Nothobranchius furzeri: one gene and its partners. The protein of the gene in region 5 purifies or fractionates together with the protein of the main gene of each other region. This does not show direct contact. Links are inferred from orthologs where the notes say so. Each region holds a gene or a part of one and is shown on either strand. Other genes may lie near its edges.

What was found.
Region 1: the proteins of exosc4 (region 5) and exosc10 purify together in Homo sapiens (affinity purification with mass spectrometry; 9 studies listed by BioGRID and IntAct, with this or other methods). This does not show direct contact. The link is inferred for Nothobranchius furzeri from reciprocal best matches to the Homo sapiens genes EXOSC4 and EXOSC10.
Region 2: the proteins of exosc4 (region 5) and dis3l purify together in Homo sapiens (affinity purification with mass spectrometry; 5 studies listed by BioGRID and IntAct, with this or other methods). This does not show direct contact. The link is inferred for Nothobranchius furzeri from reciprocal best matches to the Homo sapiens genes EXOSC4 and DIS3L.
Region 3: the proteins of exosc4 (region 5) and hbs1l purify together in Homo sapiens (affinity purification with mass spectrometry; 3 studies listed by BioGRID and IntAct, with this or other methods). This does not show direct contact. The link is inferred for Nothobranchius furzeri from reciprocal best matches to the Homo sapiens genes EXOSC4 and HBS1L.
Region 4: the proteins of exosc4 (region 5) and mphosph6 purify together in Homo sapiens (affinity purification with mass spectrometry; 7 studies listed by BioGRID and IntAct, with this or other methods). This does not show direct contact. The link is inferred for Nothobranchius furzeri from reciprocal best matches to the Homo sapiens genes EXOSC4 and MPHOSPH6.

Annotation. Positions count from the first base shown.
Region 1 is NC_091755.1:29,809,212-29,813,488, reverse strand, and holds the start of exosc10 (exosome complex component 10), read left to right. Parts: upstream 1-1,429; 5' UTR 1,430-1,509; coding exon 1,510-1,635; intron 1,636-2,360; coding exon 2,361-2,497; intron 2,498-2,685; coding exon 2,686-2,809; intron 2,810-2,894; coding exon 2,895-2,999; intron 3,000-3,124; coding exon 3,125-3,284; intron 3,285-3,372; coding exon 3,373-3,481; intron 3,482-3,563; coding exon 3,564-3,639; intron 3,640-3,714; coding exon 3,715-3,825; intron 3,826-3,939; coding exon 3,940-4,083; intron 4,084-4,277. UniProt on the Homo sapiens protein: Catalytic component of the RNA exosome complex which has 3'->5' exoribonuclease activity and participates in a multitude of cellular RNA processing and degradation events.
Region 2 is NC_091749.1:66,618,657-66,623,248, forward strand, and holds the start of dis3l (DIS3-like exonuclease 1), read right to left. Parts: upstream 2,849-4,592; 5' UTR 2,713-2,848; coding exon 2,583-2,712; intron 993-2,582; coding exon 842-992; intron 1-841. UniProt on the Homo sapiens protein: Catalytic component of the RNA exosome complex which has 3'->5' exoribonuclease activity and participates in a multitude of cellular RNA processing and degradation events.
Region 3 is NC_091742.1:447,925-452,472, forward strand, and holds the start of hbs1l (HBS1-like protein), read left to right. Parts: upstream 1-1,700; 5' UTR 1,701-1,873; coding exon 1,874-1,916; intron 1,917-2,456; coding exon 2,457-2,522; intron 2,523-3,204; coding exon 3,205-3,336; intron 3,337-3,482; coding exon 3,483-3,734; intron 3,735-4,016; coding exon of another isoform or gene 4,017-4,548. UniProt on the Homo sapiens protein: GTPase component of the Pelota-HBS1L complex, a complex that recognizes stalled ribosomes and triggers the No-Go Decay (NGD) pathway.
Region 4 is NC_091744.1:80,074,958-80,079,484, forward strand, and holds the start of mphosph6 (M-phase phosphoprotein 6), read left to right. Parts: upstream 1-1,679; 5' UTR 1,680-1,831; coding exon 1,832-1,879; intron 1,880-2,572; coding exon 2,573-2,685; intron 2,686-4,527. UniProt on the Homo sapiens protein: RNA-binding protein that associates with the RNA exosome complex. Involved in the 3'-processing of the 7S pre-RNA to the mature 5.8S rRNA and play a role in recruiting the RNA exosome complex to pre-rRNA; this function may include C1D.
Region 5 is NC_091751.1:51,169,086-51,172,858, forward strand, and holds exosc4 (exosome complex component RRP41), read left to right. Parts: upstream 1-1,548; 5' UTR 1,549-1,604; coding exon 1,605-1,775; intron 1,776-2,315; coding exon 2,316-2,522; intron 2,523-2,609; coding exon 2,610-2,969; 3' UTR 2,970-3,088; downstream 3,089-3,773. UniProt on the Homo sapiens protein: Non-catalytic component of the RNA exosome complex which has 3'->5' exoribonuclease activity and participates in a multitude of cellular RNA processing and degradation events.

The DNA of each region.
Region 1 (4,277 bases), on a different chromosome or scaffold from region 5:
CTTTAAATAGGCTTTTCATTGTCCACAAAAGGCTTGGGGGTAAAACAAAAAAAGCATAACCATTGGTGCTACCCATGCGCAAAATTGTGCCTCACCTGGGCCACCCCATTTTAAAAGATCTGGACACCCCACTGGAGTAGAGCCTTGGAGCGCTATCAAAGCTAGAAAATGCATCATATTTTTAAAGCACATAAATTGGGGTGAAATGCAACAATAACATAGATTAATAATATGACAAAGTTTATTAAATCTGGATTAATACGTCATTATAAAGACTGTTATCAGTGATAACTCAATGGTTTCAAAGTAATATAACACTCAATATCTTTAGAAACGAACACATCAAGTTGCTGGTTTTGTGCAGCGACTTTCCAACAGATGCTGATTCATTTCTTTGAATTATTAGTGCACGTGTGTGCCGAAGTTTGGTTACTCTCCGCTGAAACAACAGAATGACATGGAAAGATGCTGTGAAATATTGATCCAGTCAGTGTTGCGGAGATGCTTTTAAGATAATAAGAAGGAGAGGGCCTCGTGAAGAAATCGATTTGAATGGGAAGTGAAGAAAAGAGAGGTTTCTCCCCACACACCACAGATCATTTATAATGAGCTGGCGTGTCAATACTTTGGCTCTTCTCATGTATTGACCACTGGATCACAGCAACACCCGGTTTTTCTAATTTGTTTTGGCAACAAACACTGAGGGGAATGAATACATTTACAGTTAGGATACCTTCATCCTTGGTCAAACTCTGCAAAAATAATAAGCTTTCGATTCAAATATAATATAGACGTCTCTTAAACAAATATTGGTGGAGACATGACTGGTGCATTTTCCTTTTTCATGTGCTGCAGATGCTGAGGAGTGGTTTGCACACTTTACAAATGTAAACACTGCCCCCTCATGGTACCAGAGTCCTGGTGCATCTTTCTGTCTAAACTGGATCAAATGGGGCGATAAGAGAAGAAATCTTGCAGCGTCTGCAGTCTCACTGCATTGGATGGATGCTCTGCTGACCAGAGCACAGTCCTGCGGGATTTGTGACCAACATCCTTTCAGATTTGTAGTGAGAGTAGCCAGCATTACAACAATACACAGCAAATATTCCAGATTTATATCATTTAAACCAACAATTATTTTATCTATTTGTTGATTCAGATTCAGTTTTTGTCTTTTCTTTATCATGTAGAAAATTAATTTATATGTACAAACACTTGTAAAAATGTTGCTATATTTAATAACTTCAAGCTTTTCAACAGTATTTTGTACACTATTGTACATTATTTATGTGTTTCGTTTATTATGTTTACATTTTTGAGTGTAGTTTCAAATCAGAGAGCAACTAAATCAATTTTAAAATATTTTATGAGTATTCACTCCTGTGTAATGTTGACACTGTCCACTCCATGCCGAAAGGGGGCGCTGTGACCCTACTGCTCTACCATTAACACTGAAGGTAAAGGTGGCGCTGTTTCCGTCAGGCACTCATGTACACAACTCAAATTTAGATGATGAATTCTTCAAAGAGTAATGATGCCACGGACAGCAGCTGTCAGGGAGGTAATTTGGACACTACTGAAGAAGTGAAAGATGAGTTATGTCCTGGTTTCAAAGACGCGGACACCTTCGTTAAAGTAAGTAAACAAAACTAGCTAGCTAGCCAGTTTTTAGCTTATGCTAACAGTCCAACGTGGGTGAGCTGGTTGGCCAGTTAGCAGGATCATCATTGGGAGTTGAAGTCAAGCAAAGCAGAGACAATGACTTAACACTATTCATAAATTAAAGGTGCAACGGTGTGGTTGTGTGTAACGAAGCTTTTTGCCAACTAGCTTTTGACAGCTTTTTCATTTAGGGATCCAAATCAGCAGTAGATATAAGCTGATGATTAGAGCAAAATATGTTGCTACAAGCTTTTATTCCACTAGATTCGGGGTCTGCAGTATTTAAGCTTAAATAACCTTTTTATTGTCAAATATAATTTAGTAAAATAAACTATGAAGGCATGGCAGCTTTATTTGTGTAATGCATTTCATACAACGAGGCATTTAAATAAATAAGGAGCGCATGAAATATTTAATTTTGATTTAAAAGTTGCTAGAGTTGGGGCACACAAAAATCACCATTAAATTAAGACAAATGTTTAGATTTTTTTCTGTTTAGATTAGTTCTTCATATATTTTTTCTGTTTGGTCAAAGTTACATTTGGCCCCATCAGAAAGAATGAAAAGCTGCATTTTCCAACAGCCAAGCTTTTAGGCAAATCAACATCACATTTAAATCAAACCAATGAGATTTTAAATATTATTGCATTGTTATTATCCTTTAGTAATAGTAACAACTGAACCTGGTCTCTTTACAGTATGGTTTGGGTGCAGTGTTATCGGCCACCAAAGCTTCAGCTGGCTTACCTCAGTCTGGAGATGAGTATGATTTCTATCGGAGCTTCCCGGGATTCCAGGAGTTCTGTGAAAGTCAAGGAGATAAGCTTTTGCACTGGTAAGTGTAGTTTCTATTGGCACATGTCAATGATCAATCAGCATGTAACCAACACATAATTAACAATTATTTTATTCTTTTTGTCACTGACCAGTTTTTCAGAAGCAAGCTCAAGTTTAAACCTGAACTGAGTATTCTGAGTTCTGAGGGAGTAAAACAAGGTTTTAATCTGTTTAACTGTCTTTTAGCATGAGCCAGATAATGCAGAACCATGGCTGCAGATCTCACATAAAAGACCGGGACAAACTCACAGGAATAGAGGAGAGGTTTGACTTGGTTGTGGACTCGAATGATGTTATCCTTGAAAGAGCGGTATGACCTGCACCTTTGGCTCTAAATTACTTAATGAATGCAAAGACCTTTGCAGACCAACCAGGTTCTGCTGTCTGGTTTTTAGGGCATTCTTCTTGATGAAGCTGATGGGGTTAATCGGAGCCAGAAGCCTGTCATGCCTGTTGGGTTTCAGCCTCCGAAAATTGTTGTTTCTAGTTGGAATCGTAAGGTAGGTGAAATAAACAGTTCTTCCTGTTATCACAGTTTTTCTGTTTTGAACTACCTTCTTGCTTATCTATAAATTCTTATATCATAATAAGCAGAGTGTGTGTGCGTGTGTTTTTTTTTTTACAGGGTTCCAGCTCTGGCAGTCGTTCTGAGACATTCCGACTGCTCCATGCCAAGAACATTGCAAGGCCTCAGCTGAAATTCAAAGAAAAGGTCGACAACAGCAACACACCTTTTGTTCCAAAGATCTTCATCAAGCCCAATTCATTAAAGGCTCTTCCCTCCTGTAAGAAGCACCTTTGGCACATGTTTTGATTTGCCATTTCAACTCGTCAGCGTATCTGAGTTATTTATTTTCTTTTCTCAAACTGTAGATTTTACCAACAAACAAATTCGTAAAGAGAGGCCGGAGGACCTTGACGTCCCAGCTGCCCTGGCTGACTTTATCCACCAGCAGAGGACGCAGGAACATGTTGAAGACATGTGAGACTTGTCCCTGGTTGTGTCAACACCGTGTTTCATGTTTTCATTTCTCTAAGTAGAGTTTATTTTTTATTTTATGTAGGTTTGCACACCCGTACCAGTATGAACTGGACCATCTCATAGTACCAGAAAGCTTGCTGTCCAAGCCAGAGCCTCAAGTAATATTAACCTGTAGTAACCCAACAAAATCATCTTGTGCCGGTGTGTGTCTCATCTGTTTCTGTTCCTTCTAGATGTACAAACCGTTGGCTGAGACAAACCTAACCTTCGTCGACTCGCTGGAGGATCTAGTGACTCTCAATGAGAAGCTGTGCAAGTCGTCTGAATTTGCTGTGGATCTTGAGGTACTAAAGTCTCGTGTCTTTCTGTTCTAATTAAAATAAAAGTAGCTTTAGGAAGTCATTAAACTCTTTGGAGGCTGTTTTTCTGTTAAACATTTTCTTTTTTTTCTGTGACAGCATCATTCCTACAGGAGTTTCCTCGGCCTCACCTGTCTGATGCAGGTCTCCACCAGAGAGGAGGACTTCATCATTGATACTTTGGAGCTCCGCAGTGAATTGTACATTCTGAACGAGGCGTTTACCGACCCGAGTATCGTCAAAGTAATGAAACTGTTCTATAAATGAGTTAATTTAATGTTGAAGAGATGAGCTGAGTCTGACTTGTGAAGGGAGAGCGTGTCTCCATCATCCTAGGGAGCAGTTCTCCCTCAGCAGTTAAGATAAAAGCCAGATTTCCGTCTCATTAACATGTTTGATAAGGTTGGCAGGTGTCTTGTGCGTGGGAACCAGCGTGA
Region 2 (4,592 bases), on a different chromosome or scaffold from region 5:
TCGCTAGATGCCAATAAAACTGTCGTGACCCGGAAGTATCCCAAGACTGGTCTGGTCGGACGGCAACCGCTGCTTTTCCTAAAGGCTTCGGTTCCAGAGAAGGTCAAGCTGTCATGGCCTGAGGTATATTGTTCCCCACACTAACCCTTCTCCTGCAGGTGGGCGGTGCCGGAGAACTGCCCAGCTGCAGCCACTCAGCTGCAATCACCGGCTGGCTATATGAGGGGCAGTCTGAGACCTACACGACGTCGGATGATTAACTCGTTTGGGTATATGACCTAGTCTCGAGCTCTGTCGCTATCTTTGAGCGTGTTTTGTTTTTGTGCCCTTGCTGATTGCATTTTCCTACAGCAGATATCACTCTACATCATCCCGCCAGCCGATCTCTCTCTCTCTCTCTCTCTCTCTCTCTCTCTCTCTCTCTCTCTCTCTCTCTCTCTCTCTCTCTCTCTCTCTCTCTCTCTCTCTCTCTCTCTCTCTCTCTCTCTCTCTCTCTCTCTCTCTCTCTCTCTCTCTCTCTCTCTCTCTCTCTCTCTCTCTCTCTCTCTCTCTCTCTCTCTCTCTCTCTCTCTCTCTCTCTCTCTCTCTCTCTCTCTCTCTCTCTCTCTCTCTCTCTCTCTCTCTCTCTCTCTCTCTCTCTCTCTCTCTCTCTCTCTCTCTCTCTCTCTCTCTCTCTCTCACACACACACACACACACACACCAGAACCAGCTGCTAATGGTTTGTCAGGAAAACTTATGAGATGTTCTCCATCACTTTGGAATAAAAAAAGACGGTAGACTGGAGTTCTTCAGACAACCCACTTCACCCTCTATGTGTGTGTGTGTTTGTGTGTGTTGTACCTGCGCCCTTTACTCTGCAGAGCCTGGCAGGCCGTCTGGGTGAAGATGACTCCCTGCAGCTCCCTGAATTCCAGGATCTCCAGGAAGTTGACCACCACCTCCACCCCCGGCACCACATAGTGGGTCAAGTCTCCGGGCAACACCTTGCCATCTGTTGAGGGGTCATCAGGTCGTTACCATGGCTACACACAACATATTCACTGTTTTATACAGAAATCAGATGTTCTGTTACACTGATCTACCTGTGATAATAAATCCATCAGAGAAAATACAAATATTAAATTATATCGGTCCTCTAACGTTCGGTTGGACAAGAATGTGAGTCTACCAACAGCTCCAATCCATCCATCCATCCATCTTCTGAACCCGCTTTGTCCATGTAGGGTCGCGGGGGGGCTGGTGCCCATCTCCAGCAGTCAACGGGCAATTAGGCAAGGTACACCCTGGACAGAGAGCCAGTCCATCGCAGGGCAACACAGAGACACACAGGACAAACAATCATGCACACACACACACACACATAAGGACAATTTAGACAGACCAATCAACCTAATAGTCATGTTTTTGTACTGTGGGAGGAAGCCGGAGTACCCAGAGAGAACCCACGCATGCAAAATGAGACCATGCAAACTCCATGCAGAAGGATCCCAGGCCGGGAAGCGAACCCAGGACCTTCTTGCTGCAAGGCAACAGCTCTAACCACTGCACCACTGCGCAGCCCAACAGCTCCAGTCCGAGTCATCAAATCAAGTTTAACCAATCTGCTTGTTAAATCTGTTGGAGAAAATGAAGTTTAAAGCAAAATTTTGTTTAAATGAATCAAAAAAAATCTTTACAGTATGCTCTAATGGGAAACAGGTCTCAACACAAACGGTTGGTTTCTGCTTGGTCCTAGAGCTCAACCAGTGTCAATTTAGTATAGCGTAATATTGTTTTTGGATGGTAAAATGTGCAGGGGTCAAAACTTGACGTTGGAAAAAGTGGGGAGGGACATGCCCCCCCCCCCCCCCCCAATTACGTCCATGCATTTACTGATTAGTAACAAACGATTATAAAACTTTCACTATTAATAAACATTGTTTTACACATTTATCTCTTCACTTGTTGCCACTGATGAAAGGAGGTCTGATGTGCTTGTCATTTTCCTGAAGTTTGCACTCCTCAGGGCTTTTTGACCCTAATAGGCATCCGTTGGTAAGGTCTTACTCCAACACAAAAATGCTGCTTGCTTGCAATGTTTTAGGTGTCTACTGCTCCCCATCAACCAGGAAAAATACACACTGGCACATTAAAGACAGTTTTAAGTCTGTTTGGATCGCTGGTACATATTATATAATAGAACAGTCCTTTGTCTTTATGTCTAACTGTTTTATCTTGTATGTTTTTATCTTATCTGTTTTTCTTTAGTGTAAAGCTAACTATGTGTCTGTTGCTGCTGCATCTTGGCCAGATCATCTCTGTAAACGAGAATGAGCTCTCAATCGACTCATCTGGTTAAATAAAAATAAATAAAGGTTTAATAAATGAAGGACTGGAAATAAAACACTCGTTAGCTCTTAGTGGCTGGCTGTGTTTTTAGCGACTAGATGTGTTTTATCGGCCGGTTTATTTAGTTATTTTTGTTTGTTTTTTGCGACTAGTAGTGTGTTTTATAGACTGGTTGTGTTTGTAACGACTAGTTGTGTTTTAAACGGCTGTTTGTGTGTTTTTAGCAACTAGTTGTGTGTTTTGGCGGACTTACCGTTAGCACAGGCCGCCTGACACAGAGAGCTGAAGCAGGGAACCCGCTCCCTCAGATAGTGCTCCCGAACCACCCGAACCCTCCGGCCTCGGTAACTCTTCAGGTGCAGAATCTTCTCGGTTTTAATCATCCCGAACTCTGAACCGAAATGGATCAGCAGCCGCTGACCCAAAGTTTACAAACCGGAACTTTAAAGTGAAGACTATGTTTTGGCGGACTTGTGAGAGGGAAGCTCCAAGTGTTGTGCCGAAAAGAGCATGCCTGGCGAAATGTGCATCCCCGTTGTGGAAAGGCGCTTAAAAAGTACTATTAATGTAATATTATTATGTTTATCTGCGTGATTCCTTACAAAAAGATCGTTTGTAGGCAGATAAATTAAAGAAATTTATGTTTAAAACATTTTTATTTGAAGAAATAGTAATAAAGTAGTAATAAATATTTTAAAATGAGTAATTTTGTGTCACGTGTGTTTTTTAAGAACCAACAACAAAATAGTTGGGAGAAAGCACAAAAATACATAAAAAATGCTCACTAAAACATTATTCTCAAACGTTCAAAAACGTAATTTTTTTATAACTATTTCATCATATTTGTAAACAAAAACAAAACGCTTTCACGAAAAACACGTAACAGAAGCGTGTTAGCCTCGTCGCTCATAAAGTATTCTAGTTTACCTCTATGCTTATTTCATGGGGATACGCATTTCGGCAGGCATGCTCCTTTCGGCACAACACCTGTTTCCGTGTTGAGAGAGTCGGAGCCACGGTTGGTGCTGTCCTTTTGCGTTCATGTACTGTCGGACAAAAGAAAACTCATGGATTCTCTTCTGTCCCGCAAACAGAAATTCTTCAGGTGTTTTTCAAAAGGTTTTTGAATTTACCAGAATTTTCTGAAATAAACAAAAAGACGACGTTTACAAAATATGTTCTAGGGGTTGATTAAAAACACTTTTATCTGGAAAAGTTTCACATTAAAAAATTGTTCACAAAACAGTTAAATGTTTGCTTAAAGGTATCTGTGTTGAACTAGCCTGGCAAGCCAGACTAAATAAGTATATTATTTGTATTTAAACTTAAAAGGGAGGAATCTGGTCTAGTTTTACTAGCCTAGTATTGAACACCTTTTCTGGTTAGAATACTAAACAGGAAATTCTGTCATCAGCACTTTTTTTCCCCCCTCTGTGGCAAACAGCAAATCTTTTATGATTCATGTGATGAATTTATTGTAGTATTGTGAGAGGTTAAACATTTTACAGGAAGCCTCTAGGTGGACCTAGTGTTCTGGATGCAAAGTGGGGTGTACTTTAACATTAGACAAGCGGAAGTTCGTTGCCGGGAAGCATGGCTGTACCTGTGTTGGAGTAATAAATATTCCCAAAGAACAACCCACTCTCCGTGAGCTTATTCTTGCCACCAGAGGATATTACATTTATATACAATTTTAAAAAGACCCAAAACATTTTTTTTACAACTAGAAACTGTTTTTTGAGCCTTTGTACAGCCTATGAAATGTTGTTGGGGTCTACAATGGCCCAGGAGCTCTGATAAATGATCAAACACAAAATTATAATAAAGACCTACAAATAAGACCTATAAACTGGTTTAGCCAGCCCACTGGGTCAGAACCAAGCAGAAACCCCGAAGACCCAGACCTGAAACCAACACGGAAGTAAAAAAAGTGCTTGTTGTAGCTGGATTGGTTCAGTTTATGGGTGTCAGTCATTTGCTCCCACCCTCACAGCCCGACTCTCAGCTTCATCTCTTTTCTCATGTTTGGACTGTCTGGGCGTGATGAGACGTGCAACACAGCCAAGATGAAGGTGTTAGGAGCCGCCTATGGGGAGCCTAAGTCACGCCCATCTACTTCCGGACCACGGGTCCACGGAAGAACGAAAAAATGAATGCAAGTCAACGGGGCTAAAAATGCTATTTTCTAATTCCTCTCGTTCTGTGCCATGGATTTCACATATGATGTCAGTGGATTTTAAAGATGCATTTTGATACCAAGAAT
Region 3 (4,548 bases), on a different chromosome or scaffold from region 5:
GATGATGATTTTTCTCCTTCAAGAACAAGCACAACCGACCAGCGACGAAGAAAGCGCACCTGCAGCCGTGCAGAGACCGAGTAAGCAAAAAGAAAAAAGAAAAAACTTTATTAAAAGATGATGTTTCGTTCATAATTTTCTCCTTTTTTTATCATCAGAAAAACGAAAGAGGAGAATCAGACGACAAAGTAGGCCGGTAGGAAGTAGGATTCTCTGGAGGTTTCTTCCTGTTAAAAGGGAGTTTTCCTCTCCACTGTCGCTTTATGCTTGCTTAGTATGAGGATTGCTGTATAGTCACTGACACTAGTCAGTGACTCGATGCAATTTGCTGGGTTCCTTATATAGGAAACATTATTTCTGATTGGCTTAATGAACTGACCTGAATTGGAATGTTTATTATGTGAAGTGCCTTGAGACGACTCTTGTCGTGATTTGGCGCTATATAAATAAACTTGAATTGAGTTGAATAGTTGAATGTTTTTAGGGATGGTAGACAGCTGACCAGATGCGTACACGCCGCAAAAATAATCTCCCAGCAGGTTCGATAATATTCTGTCCAATTCGTGATTATCCATTAATAATAATCCACTAATACCTCTCTCTTTGAGTTTATCTCCAGAATGGAGTCATCACAGGCATACACAATGAGTGTAGCCGTGGCTCTCAATTCATCTGTGTAAAATAGAAATCATGACATTTGATACAATTTGAAAATTTTTTAAACAAAATTACGAACCATAGCATCATTCTTCTCTACATTTTTATGATATTTAGACAGAATTTGTTTCAGAGAAACTCCACAAGCCGTGCGACACAGGAAAAAAACACTATGGTGACCGCAGCAGTCGGATGCTAAACTCTGTAGCTGTTTATCTTGATATTGTATTCTTGAACAACGTAGTGCTAAGATAGCAGGAAAAAAATATGTCAGTCTAGATTGTGTATGTGAGGTGTTGTGAGCTCAGATGGGCTGTTCTTTAACCATGGGGCATAACCTTTGACAGGATGATTGTTGACATTTGCACCCTTCTTAGACGGGACATAAAAGTGTGTTGCATGCATGATGGATCTGTTAAGTTGTTTCTACGACTTGCTGAAAAGAAAATGCTCGCTACTTTTTTCTGCATCTTCTTCTCTTCATTGTTTGCTCTCACTTGATGGCAGATTGATAAGACCTGAAAATGCAATTTCTTGGAAAACTAAATTAGTTTGTTGGAAAAACGATGATAGAGCTGAACATTGCAGTTTTGTAACAAAATTTTTTTAACTGATCAACAAGTCAAAACAACCGTTTCAAATCACATATTGAAACAGGTGCGTAATTATTTTTAGTAGAAACTGTGATGATTTTTTAAATTCACAGATGATCCCTACAATGAACACAATCTAAAGTCATAATAAGTTAAATAAAGGTTGATAATCGAAGACATATATTTAGCTCGTTGTTTTTTATGATTACTGTCTCCGTATCAAATTAATTTCTAAGCTGTATTAGTTTATTTGTCCAAAATTAGTTTGTAAATATTAACTGACCGTGGGTCCGTTTGAACTGCGCCCACTCAGAGCCGCTCCTGTCAGTAGAACTGATTCCAGTACATACAGGAAGTGACGTCAGCGGAAAAATCTTGAAGTTATCTTTTTTTAACTTTAATACGCATTTTGAAAATTTGTATGATCCGTTGTGAAAATATAAACGTTAGAAAACATTTTACATTTAGCTTAGTTGTTTTCGGTGCTGCTAAATAAATCGTAATTCGTACACTCGTTGTTGAAAACTACACAGGAGCAAACTCAATGGCAGCCGCGGTGGTAAACACATGTATGTGAGCTGAATAACATCTACACCGGGACCAACAGAGGACAGAAAGACGAAATGTCTCGCCACAGAAATGTTCGAGGTTACAACTACGATGAAGGTAGATTACTTTAGTCAGTATTTGTTGCTTCATTCGTTGCCTTCAGACTGCTAAACACCTTAGCCGCTAGGCTAAAATTAGCTAGCTAACGCTAGTTCGACGTTCACCTGCCAAAATAATAATGCTGTCGTGTCATTTGGCACCAAGAAAAAAAAAAAGACAAATTACACCTCAGTACCGGCGTTTATGTGCATATCCACTGATTCAGGTGTTAACGTAAAAACCTGAAATCAATGAAAACAACTTGCATGATAATAAATGTAGCGGCTGCTATTCAGTGATTTGTTAGAAAGCTCTAAACGCATGAATTGTACAAGTTTCATCTAAGACAGCTAACATACACTCAACGGTTACGGTTCTCAAACCGGAGTAATTACCCGGCGACCATCATGCTAGTTAGTTTGTTGCGGATTTTTAAAATTGCTGACAAGGCAGAGTGACATCTGGCACAAAGCACTCTGTAACAATGATGTAAAGAAATATTTGGCAAATGATTAAAAGCACTTATTTGACCTTGTTCTTTTGTATATTTTTAATCAGATTTTGAAGATGATGACATGTATGGACAATCTGTGGATGATGACTACTGTATATCACCAGCAACAGGTTGGTTTCCAGTGACTCATTAAGAGGAAATACTGTATTAATAAAGGACTGGTTTAGTTTCCTTCTGAGACCCTTTCTTAAAAATGTCCAGTAACAGATTTTAAAGTCTTTACTGTAACTAAAGTGACCAATTACTCTGATCAAAATGCCAGCCAGCCAAATAAAACAACCTATTCTAATAGGTCTTCCCATGTTGCCAAAACTGCTCAAATAGAACAAAAGATCGATATTGATCACCTCTTCAATCTCTGGTTATCAGTCACCTCTGAAAAGAATGATGAAAAATCAAAATGTGACCTGTTTGTATTTACATGTTTTTTTCTATGTAGCATTAGTAAAATTCTGCATGGACACAACTAATCTGCAGCTATGTCTATAACTGAGTCAAGTTAACACATTATGGGCTAAAACTTTGTTGTTTGATCTTCAGTCAATCCAATTAAAGTTAATCGAAAATTTCTAATAATGAAATGGCTTCAGTTTAGTCAGTCTTGAAGATATTGAGCGGTAACTCCATAATTTGTCAACATGGGATGAGGATATACTCCGACATGAAAATGATCAGACAATATGCGTTTCTTTAAAGAATGCTGGGTCTTTGATTTTTCATCTTTTGGCTGATGCTGTTGTGTATTACAGGTTTGCAGTCAGCACTTAATTAAACAAAATTTTGTTCATTTAGCTAATCAGTTCATTTACTCACGTCGAGAGCGACAAGCCCCCAAAGAGGAGCCTTTAGAGGAGGAAGAGTATGAAGTGGAAGATGTTCACATGTCCCCAACAGCCGACCACAACCTTGACCCTCTTAATCAAGGTACTCTTTTTATTTCACTGCAACTACAGACAAAATGTTTTTGGATTCTTGTGTATACATTTTTTATGTTTTTACATATGATTGATCCTGCTGAATCGATAGTTTTTTTCGAATATATTTTTTCTAACTCCCATGTTTCGTTCTAGCTAAGCTGTATTCCTGCCTGGACCACATGCGGACCGTGCTCGGAGACGCAATGCCAGACTCGGTGCTGACCCAGGCTGCAGTCAGACATGGGTTTGACCCGCAGAGGGCATTGGATGCAGTCCTGTCTGAAGACACCAAAACGGCCCCGGTTACCAGAAGTGCAAATGAAGAGATGACATCAGTCAGTAGAGTTTGTCAAGAGACGACGCCTCTTCCACAAAGAACCAAGCAGGAGATTGTGGCTGAGAAAGGTACGCCTAGAGTGAATCAAACCTGAAGTTTTATTTGTTTTAAATATTGGAAATGAGTGAAATCAGATAATAATCATTAATTCTGTATGCTTAGCACTTTATCACTAAGAGGGATTTACTACAGGCTCTATTGATGACACATTTCCATCATGCATGTGTTTAACAAAGTGCCTTGTTACTTTTTGTTCTTGCTTCTTAAATGTGGTGTGATTCATCACTTCTGCTCATGTGATCCTCTCGTCCCTCCTCTTCGACAACTTCGCTTGGCTTTCGTAAGGTAAGGAGCCTGCTTGTCTGCTTCTCACACAGACACTACATCCACGGCACATAAACAAACACAACCAAGTGCACGAAACCTCTTATCAGCGCTCGAGACCGGGCCTGCAAGTAGCAGCTGTGCAAAGAAACGTTTTCAGCTTGAAAATGCTCATGGAGGCGTCGGCGGCAGCACCAGTTTGGCTCAGCTCATGTGTGAGCACGAGCGAAAGAGTAAAATGAGCGCAGTTGATAACAAGTTTTGCTTAGATGTTTCATCATTGAGTGTAGCTTCCAATTCATTGCCGACTATTCCTAATCAGAGTAGCCTATCACTTGGAACTCTGGCATCTTTGAAAATGTCCTCTGAATCTAACACAGCAGCTCCCTCCATCCTTTCCACTTCACTCAATAACCTGTCACTAAACACCCCCAAGGTGAGAAGCTCCACTGTAGCTCCTCCTCCTGAGTTTGGAAGTCTCAGTTCTGTTCCGCATCCATCGACGGCCGATCCTAAAGGCAGTCCTTCATTGGCTGATTTAATCCAGGAGCACACCAA
Region 4 (4,527 bases), on a different chromosome or scaffold from region 5:
AAACTACAGCACCAGGCGGGAGCTGAATCTTTTCCAGACACGCAACCACTGGCGCCTAATTTCTAAGTCCAGCGGAAAGGAGTGCAACCCGACAGAGCTCCGCAACCATACTACACTACACCATCTCACCATGCTAACACGATATGGAGCACTAAACCCGAACTACTTTCCTAATTACACTAACAGCCAAACAGTAACTAAACTACAATATCCAACAGCCAAGCTAACACTAAATAAGTATGTATAACACTAAAAGCTATGCTAAAGACTAGGATATGCTAATGCTATATGCTAATGCTGAACTACGGCTAGCCTCCTACACTCTCATGCAAATCCAACTCCCAACTCGCCACAAGGCGTGGCCGAGACTCCCGATGCTTTTATAACGTTGACACAGAGCTGCTACGTAGTACTCTACTGGATTACGTAGTATCTTACTCTTTAGCCATTGGCTAAAATTTATTCAAAATGAGTCAAATTCTATGTTTTAAGCTGAAGGTGGAGCTATACTGTGGTATTTAGGCAGAATTTTTAATTTTTTAAGAAAATGCACCAAAATGCTAAAATAATGAATACACACATTTAAAACACTATTAGACACTCATTTATACAGTTCATCAGCAAAAAAAAGTTAATTTAGACGTTACTTGCTCTTTAAGTTTGATCAGAAGTTGCTATGTGTATTGTTTATTTGAAAACTATTTACAGAGCAGCCTCAGAGTTGAGATTAAATGTTTTTGATCACAATAGTAAAGGAACTATTACAGAACAAGTTTTTCAATAAAATCAGAACATTAATATTTAAGTGCATGAATTAAGAGAGAGAGAGAGAAAAAAAGATCTTTTCTATAGCGCCTCTCAAGATAAAAATCACAGGGCGCTTCACAAAAACAAAACATGTAAAATAGAAAAAAGAATTTAGAAAATGATTAAATTAAAATGAGCAAAAAATAGACAATTGTGATTAAAAATGTAAAGAAAGAGAGAGAGAGTGAATAGGAAAGAGGGAGTGGATCCTCCTCAGGAAGAGGAGAGAGAGAGAGGGGGGGGGAAAAAGAACCCCGACTGGAGTGGAAGCAGTGACATAAGAATTAAGTCACACAACGTTTTCCACAAATGCACACGTTCATTCGGAAAGCCACACTCTTGTGTTTCACAAATATAATTCGGAGGAACACAAATGCACAAGCTCATTCGGAAATTCACACTCTTTGACTCATAAATATAATGTGAAAAAATAAGTCACGCAACATTTTCCACAAATGCACACGCTAATTCTGAAGTTCACACTCTGTGGTTCACAAATATTATTTGTAAGAACACTTGTAATATAAACTCACAGATCATCCGAATTGCTGAACGTGCATTTACGAAAAGCTTCTCATTTGTGAACCTTTCTGCGTTTGTGAGTGAAATCTGTGCGCTGAATTTTGGGGGCTTGTCTCCAGCATGTGTTACCATGGTGAATGGGAGGGGCTTCAAGCTAGCCACATTGGTCTTTAAATTATTGTTGGCTAATGTGTTTCGGTTTAAACAAACAAACATATAAACTGAAATAATTTACACAAATTCATCTTCGAGTGTTTTCACGGTCATGTCCTTTTATCTTTCTAGAAAAGGTTAGATGACCAGGATCCAATTCGAACAGCTGCTCGTGTTTGATTCATCATCCTTAACATCGACCATGCATGCGCATCAATGTTCGATTGTTTCAGACTGTGGTGAGCGCTTAGCCCAGTGGCTAATGCTAAGTGCTGATTGTTAGATCTAAACGAGTTCGTTTGAATGAGTTCGGATTTACTTTAAATTAGTATAAATTAATCGGCACAATATGGCGGAAGATTCATTCAAACTGTCAAAAAACCTGCTGCGGATGAAGGTAAGCGTTAGCTGCTAGCTCTGCGCCGAACGTCATTGACTAAACAGAAATGAACGTTTGATGTGTGATAAGAAGACGCTAGTTTCCTCCCAGATGCTGACTCCAAGCAGCGTTTATCACCCTGAAACTGAACTTGAATTCGGGGTAAAGCAACGAGACGAAGCGGATTTAGGCGTGTTTCAGAGATGTATCTGATCTCTGTGAACCCGTGGAGGAGCGGGATGTGCCTCCTTCATCTGGACCACTCTGAACCAGGACCGAACCTGAGAGAAGATTCTACCAAAGTCCAAAAAAATCCGAACCACAGCTCACAAAAAGCCAGAGCTTCTGGTGCAATGATTAGAATCTTCACTCCCAACACGTCCTCCATCCTGAGCAGCACCACGCAACGTCCTACAGAATCAAGTCCAGGATGGACCGACTGGTTCTGGGAGACCTGGTGGCCGCCAGAGAGGAGCCTGGGAAGGGAAAGCTGTGCCTCTTGTTTTACTGTTAGAACCTCTAGGAAGGAACCAAACTTGCTGCTGCCTGAGAACCAGGAGTTGTGGGAAGAGAGAAGATTTCTGATGGAAGTCAACTTTAGAAGTTCTGGATCTTCCAGGAAGCTGATGATCTTGGCAGCATTGTTGTGGACCTGGCTAACGGTGGTTTTGGTTGGGTCCAGATTGAGTAAATGTGTGCTTTGTGTTTCAGTTTATGCAGAGGGGACTGGATGCTGAGACAAAGAAGCAGCTGGACGAAGACGAGAAGAGGATCATCAGTGATGAACACTGGCACCTGGACCTGCCGGAGCTCAAATCTAAAGAGTATGAGAACAGGAATCCCACTAGCCTGGCGAGCCACGACCCATAGACAGATCTAAATAATGGGGTGGGATCTACGTTTTTTTTTTTTTGTTTTCCAATAACATCCTGCCTACTTAGTGTTGCGATTGGTCCATGAAATCTATATAGCGCCATGATTGGACCACTACAGAACAGCAGCCATCTTTATTTGTAGTTTACCTGGCTGATACCTATGTTTGGACAGTTTCGAGCGGCAGCCATGTTTGTTTGCAGGGACATCCCTCCCACCTCGCTAAAAGAGCACTGTGATTGGCCCAACAAACCAGTAAAACACTGATTGGAATGCCACGGATGTCAGTCAACGGGGCAGCCCGCCGTTACATTAAAAAAAAAAGTAAAACAGCGCGCCAGCACTAGCCTGGCAAGCCAGACTAAATAAATGTATTATTTAGGCAGGATGTTGTCTGAAAACTCAAATTTTATTGATCCTATTTATCTTAATAATTCCCACAAAACTAGATGGTACTAGATTAGTAGTAAAAAGTATTGGTATTGGGCGGCAATACTAGCCCCTGTATTTACTTGGTATCGGATCGATACCAAATTTTGCAGTATCGTACAGCACTACTGACTAGTCGGCGGTCAGCCGCTCGTTTGAAATGGCTTTGGCGTCAAGTTTGGACTATTATGACTTTTTAGCTTTTGTTTGAGTCAAGATCAGATAGAAGTACTAACGTTTATTTAGGAAAAGGATGTGTTTTGCATCTTCTTTGACGGAGTTTGGTGGACTGCCTCGTTGACCGACATCTGTAGCGGTGAGTAAATCAATGCTTGCCAGGCTAGAAGAAACGGAATCGATACCATCACGCAGGTATCTAGTAAATACTCAATACCAACGTTAGATCGATACTATCGATATCTTAGCTCGATCCGCCCAGCCCTATTTGTCAGTTTTACTGCCTCGACGCTCCGCAGCTACAACATGGCCGCCGCCTCCTCTCTTTCCATTCAATGTTTCTGGTAGCAGCGGTAAACAAGGCTTTGAAGTATCGCGCAAATTCATTGTGACTCGAGACATGTGAGGTTTGTCTTATTTTACTTACTGCATTATGAAAGTAAACAGCGCGTGCACACACACACACACACACACACACGTTTATTTGTCAGGACGGCTCTCCTCCTCACTGCACCTTCGCTCGGCCAGTGCTTCTTCCCCGGCTCCTCGGGCCCCGCCGCCGCGCTGATTTGTTTTAAAGAAAAACAACCTCAAAAGTCATTAGATGGTTACAACCTGTCTGTGTCTGGTCATGTGGGGCCTTTCCCTTTTTTTATTCTGTCATGAGACTGTGGCCTAGTCCACACGTAGCCGGGGTTTTTTAAAAACGAATATCCGCCCCTCCAAAAACTTGCATCCACACCACCTCGTTTTAAAAACAAACTGTCCACACGTACCTGGATAAATACGTTGTTAAGGACATGCCAGACCTGTAGGCGGCAGTACTTTCCCCGTTCTTAACCTCGTCCTTCGTCTGTGGTCTTCCGCAAGGAGCAGTAATTCCTCTTGCAAAAACAAACAAGCAGAAAGCGCTTGGACAATTGATAAAGCGAGCGCAGCTCTGAGGGCATCCATGCTGTCGGCTAGTGTAAACACAGGTCGCACACGTGATGTCAGCATTGCTTTGTCGCAGAAAGTGACGTTGCGGACCTTAAAACTCCGGTTTTGTCCGTCCACACGCAGACACCCAACACGGAGAAAACGCACATCTTCACTTTGGCCGGAGTTTTTTTAAAAAGATCAGTTTTCGTGTGGATGACAGGCCAAAACGTAGAAAAATATCTACGTTTTGGCAGATCCCCGGCTAC
Region 5 (3,773 bases):
CCTAAGTGGGGAAATTTTGGTGTAACAGGCAACAGCAGTAAAGCAGACTAACAAGAATGAAGAGAAAAGGGTGGTACAGCAAGAACACATGCACTGCTCACCACCCCAAAAATGTCGCCACCTGCATTTAACCAAGCAAACAGTAGAGCCTCCTATTGGATAATTGCTGCCTGGGTGATTATCTTTCAGCTGGCAACAAGTTATTTAACCCCAACTGGTACAATGAGTTGCTTCCCATTTCTTAAATCATGTGTAAAGACACATCTGGTGGTCGTGGAAAAGAAATCATTGGCATGCATCAAGCATAGAAAACATCTAAGGAGACTGCAGAAACTGGGTTTAGAACTGGTCTGATGAGTCAAGATGGACCCTGTTCCAGAGGGATGGGTGCGTCAGTGTAAGAAGAGAGGCAGATGAAGTGATGCACCCATCACACTTAGTTCCTATTGTACAAATCTGTGGGGGCAGTACCATAATCTGGGGTTGCTGCAGTTGGTCAGGTCTAGGTTCAGCAACAGGATGTGGGCAGCTCAGCCCTCCATGTGCTCGCCAGAGGCTGCCTGACTGCCATTAGGTACCAAGATGAGATCATCAAACCCCTTGTGAGACCATTACATCAAAGTTGGATCAGCCTATAGGGCTGGGCGATATGGCCTAAAATCAATATCATGATGTATTGAGGATTTCACCTCGATAACGATAAATGGATGATAACTACAGGTATGCGCAGAAACAAGAGTGGTCCACTAGATGGGGCTGTCACGTGTATCACGTTTAGTCACATTTTTACCTGACTCCAGGTGGTACGGCATCTTAAAGGGACAGGAATGTTGCCAACCTACACACATCTTTTCATTATTTTATTATTAAATTTGTTGACATGGGAAAAATTATCTCGATAAGAGTCTGAAATTTCGATGACGATAAATTTTCGATTTATTGCCCAGCCCAAACCTGTAGTGTGTTTATACATTTTAATTCTGTCGATGCTCTAAATCCAGATATCCATGGGTTGATAAATTTGATTTCTATTGATAATTCTTATATGGTTTTGTTGTCAGCACACTCAGCTATGTAAAGAACAAAGTATTAAGAATATTTCATTCATTCTGATCTAGGATGTGTTCATGTGTTCCCTTTATTTATAAACTGAATTGGTTTTACCGCCTTTAAAAGATATTGTGTAAAAGACCGAAGCAGAACGTTCACAAGGAGTGAGAGCATGAATGGAAACCTAATAATGAAATATGGGCAGGGTAATAGAAAATGTGCAAACCAGGAAACCAGCTGCAGGAATTCAAAATCTGCTGGTTTTGGATCATTGAAACCCTTTTTTAGAATTTGTTTTCTAAATATAAAAAATAAAATGTAGAAAGTGGTTGTGTTTTGAATTTTGACTTTATATTTTCATAGATATTTATTTATATTATTATACTTAAATGAGATCATCCATCCATCCAGATGTCAGAAAAAGGATGGACGGATGGAACGGAAACGTTCGTGCGCTTTTTTTCCCCCCGCTTTGAGCTTGCCGTTGTCCCTGGTAGAGGCTGTTGGGTAATGTAGTGCAGCGTTGAACACGTGAGGCGGGTGTTTGCAGAAACATGGCGGGCATCGAGCTGCTGTCGGACCAGGGATACCGCCTGGATGGAAGGAAAGCCACCGAACTGCGGAAAGTTCAGGCTCGCCTGGGTGTGTTCGCTCAGGCCGACGGTTCCGCTTACCTGGAACAGGGAAACACCAAAGTTCTGGCTGTGGTTTACGGTCCGCACGAGGTATGTAACGTCACGAATGTTTGGAGGACTTCATAACACATAACCATATAAAGGCGGTACTATATGTTTCCTAGTATTAGATTTAACAACATCTTCGCGCCTATTAGTGTTTGTATAATAAAGTGAGATCATAATAATATTTTACAATGTTTACTGTGCATCAGACGTGATAGAGCAGAATGCTACAGCATGGAGGTTAAATTAGAAATACACTGGAGCGAATGAAAGAATAATGAATGCAAATCACTAGTTATAAATATGAAATCAAAGTTCAAATGTGGTAACCCACCAGAAATGTATTTGTCGATGTAACCTTACAGTTGAGAAATAATAATAATAATAGAAACTTAAATCTAATGTTGCACATATTTCCAGAAACCTAGGGACTCCTGGTCTTGAAAAAAAATGGACATTTCAACATCCAGATATTTTTTTTAATTTTACTTTAGTTCTATTAGCATATTTTTAGGAATTATGTTAAAATCAAACAAGTCCAGTCGTGATTATTTTTGTATTTCTTCATCTCATTCTTCCCTCTAGATGCGAGGTTCAAGAAGTCGTACTCTCCACGATCGAGCCGTCATTAACTGCCAGTACAGCATGGCCACATTCAGCACCGCAGAAAGGAAGAGGAGGCCGCACGGAGACCGTAAATCCACCGAGATGAGTCTCCACCTGAAGCAAACGTTTGAAGCTGCTGTGATGACCCAGCTCTTCCCGCGCTCTCAAATAGACATTTATGTCAAGGTGCATCTTAGATTCTTTAAGTTTCTCTTTTCATGTTAATAAAGACAGCAGTTCCTTTTTTTCACGAAGATGTTTTGTATTTTTCAGATTCTGCAGTCAGATGGTGGGAACTACAGTGTGTGTGTTAATGCAGCCACCTTGGCTGTGATTGATGCTGGCATCCCGATGCGAGACTACGTGTGCGCCTGCACCGTGGGCTTTGTGGATGAGACTCCCCTCGCTGACCTTTGCTACGCCGAGGAGAGCGGAGGAGTCAGCTCTCTGGCGTTGGCGCTGCTTCCCAGGGGAGGACAGATTGCTCTGGTTCAGATGGACGCCAGGCTGCATCAGGATCACCTGGAAGCACTGATTGAAGCTGCAACGACAGCTTGTAAAGGTGTGAGCAAGGTGCTGGATGAGGTGGTGAGGCAGCATCTTCAAGAAGCATCGGTGCTCACCGGAGAGTAATGAATTATGAAGTGGAGCCCGTTTGGACTGAGAATCTCTGAACTCTTTCTTTATTTTATAATATTTCATTGCATTTCTTTATCCTTTTGTAACCAGACCTATAAATGTGTGAATGGAAATCTTCTCTTTGATTTTTCTCCTGACTCTTGTTCGATAGACATGTAGTCTCTGTTAGTTCTGTTAACTCTGAATAACAGATCATTAATAGTAATTATTAGAAAGAAAGAAAATGATCTTTTATATAGCGCCTCATGATAAAAATCACAAGTTGCTTCACAAGAAAAATACATTTTAAATATTAATAGATAAAATGATTAGAAGATATGGTTAAAATGAGAAAAAATATGTGATTAAAGGAAAGGATAAGGAAAGGGAAAGAGAAAATGAATAAGAAAGAAGAAAATCAGTGGATCCTGGGAGAGGTGGAGTTGGTAGAGCAGAATAAGGAGAGGGAGTGATGAAGGTAACACCAAAGCCAGCCTGAACAGGTGAGTTTTCAGCTTCTTTTTGAAGGAGACCACTGAGTCCACTGATCTCAGGCTCAGGGGGAGAGAGTTTCAGAGTCTGGGGTCTACAGCAGCAAATCATTGTCACCTTTGGTCTTTAGCCTGGTGCGCTGTACAACCAGTAGACTTTGATCACTGAACCTGCTGGGGATGTAGAGATTAAGAAGATCACCACTGTATGAATGTGCTTGTTCATGTAAGGGCCTAAAAACGACCAGGATCTTGACAAAAACCCTGAAGTTGACTGGCAGCTTGTAAAGCTGGAGATTTAAAAAAATGTTCTTTATTATTATTTTCA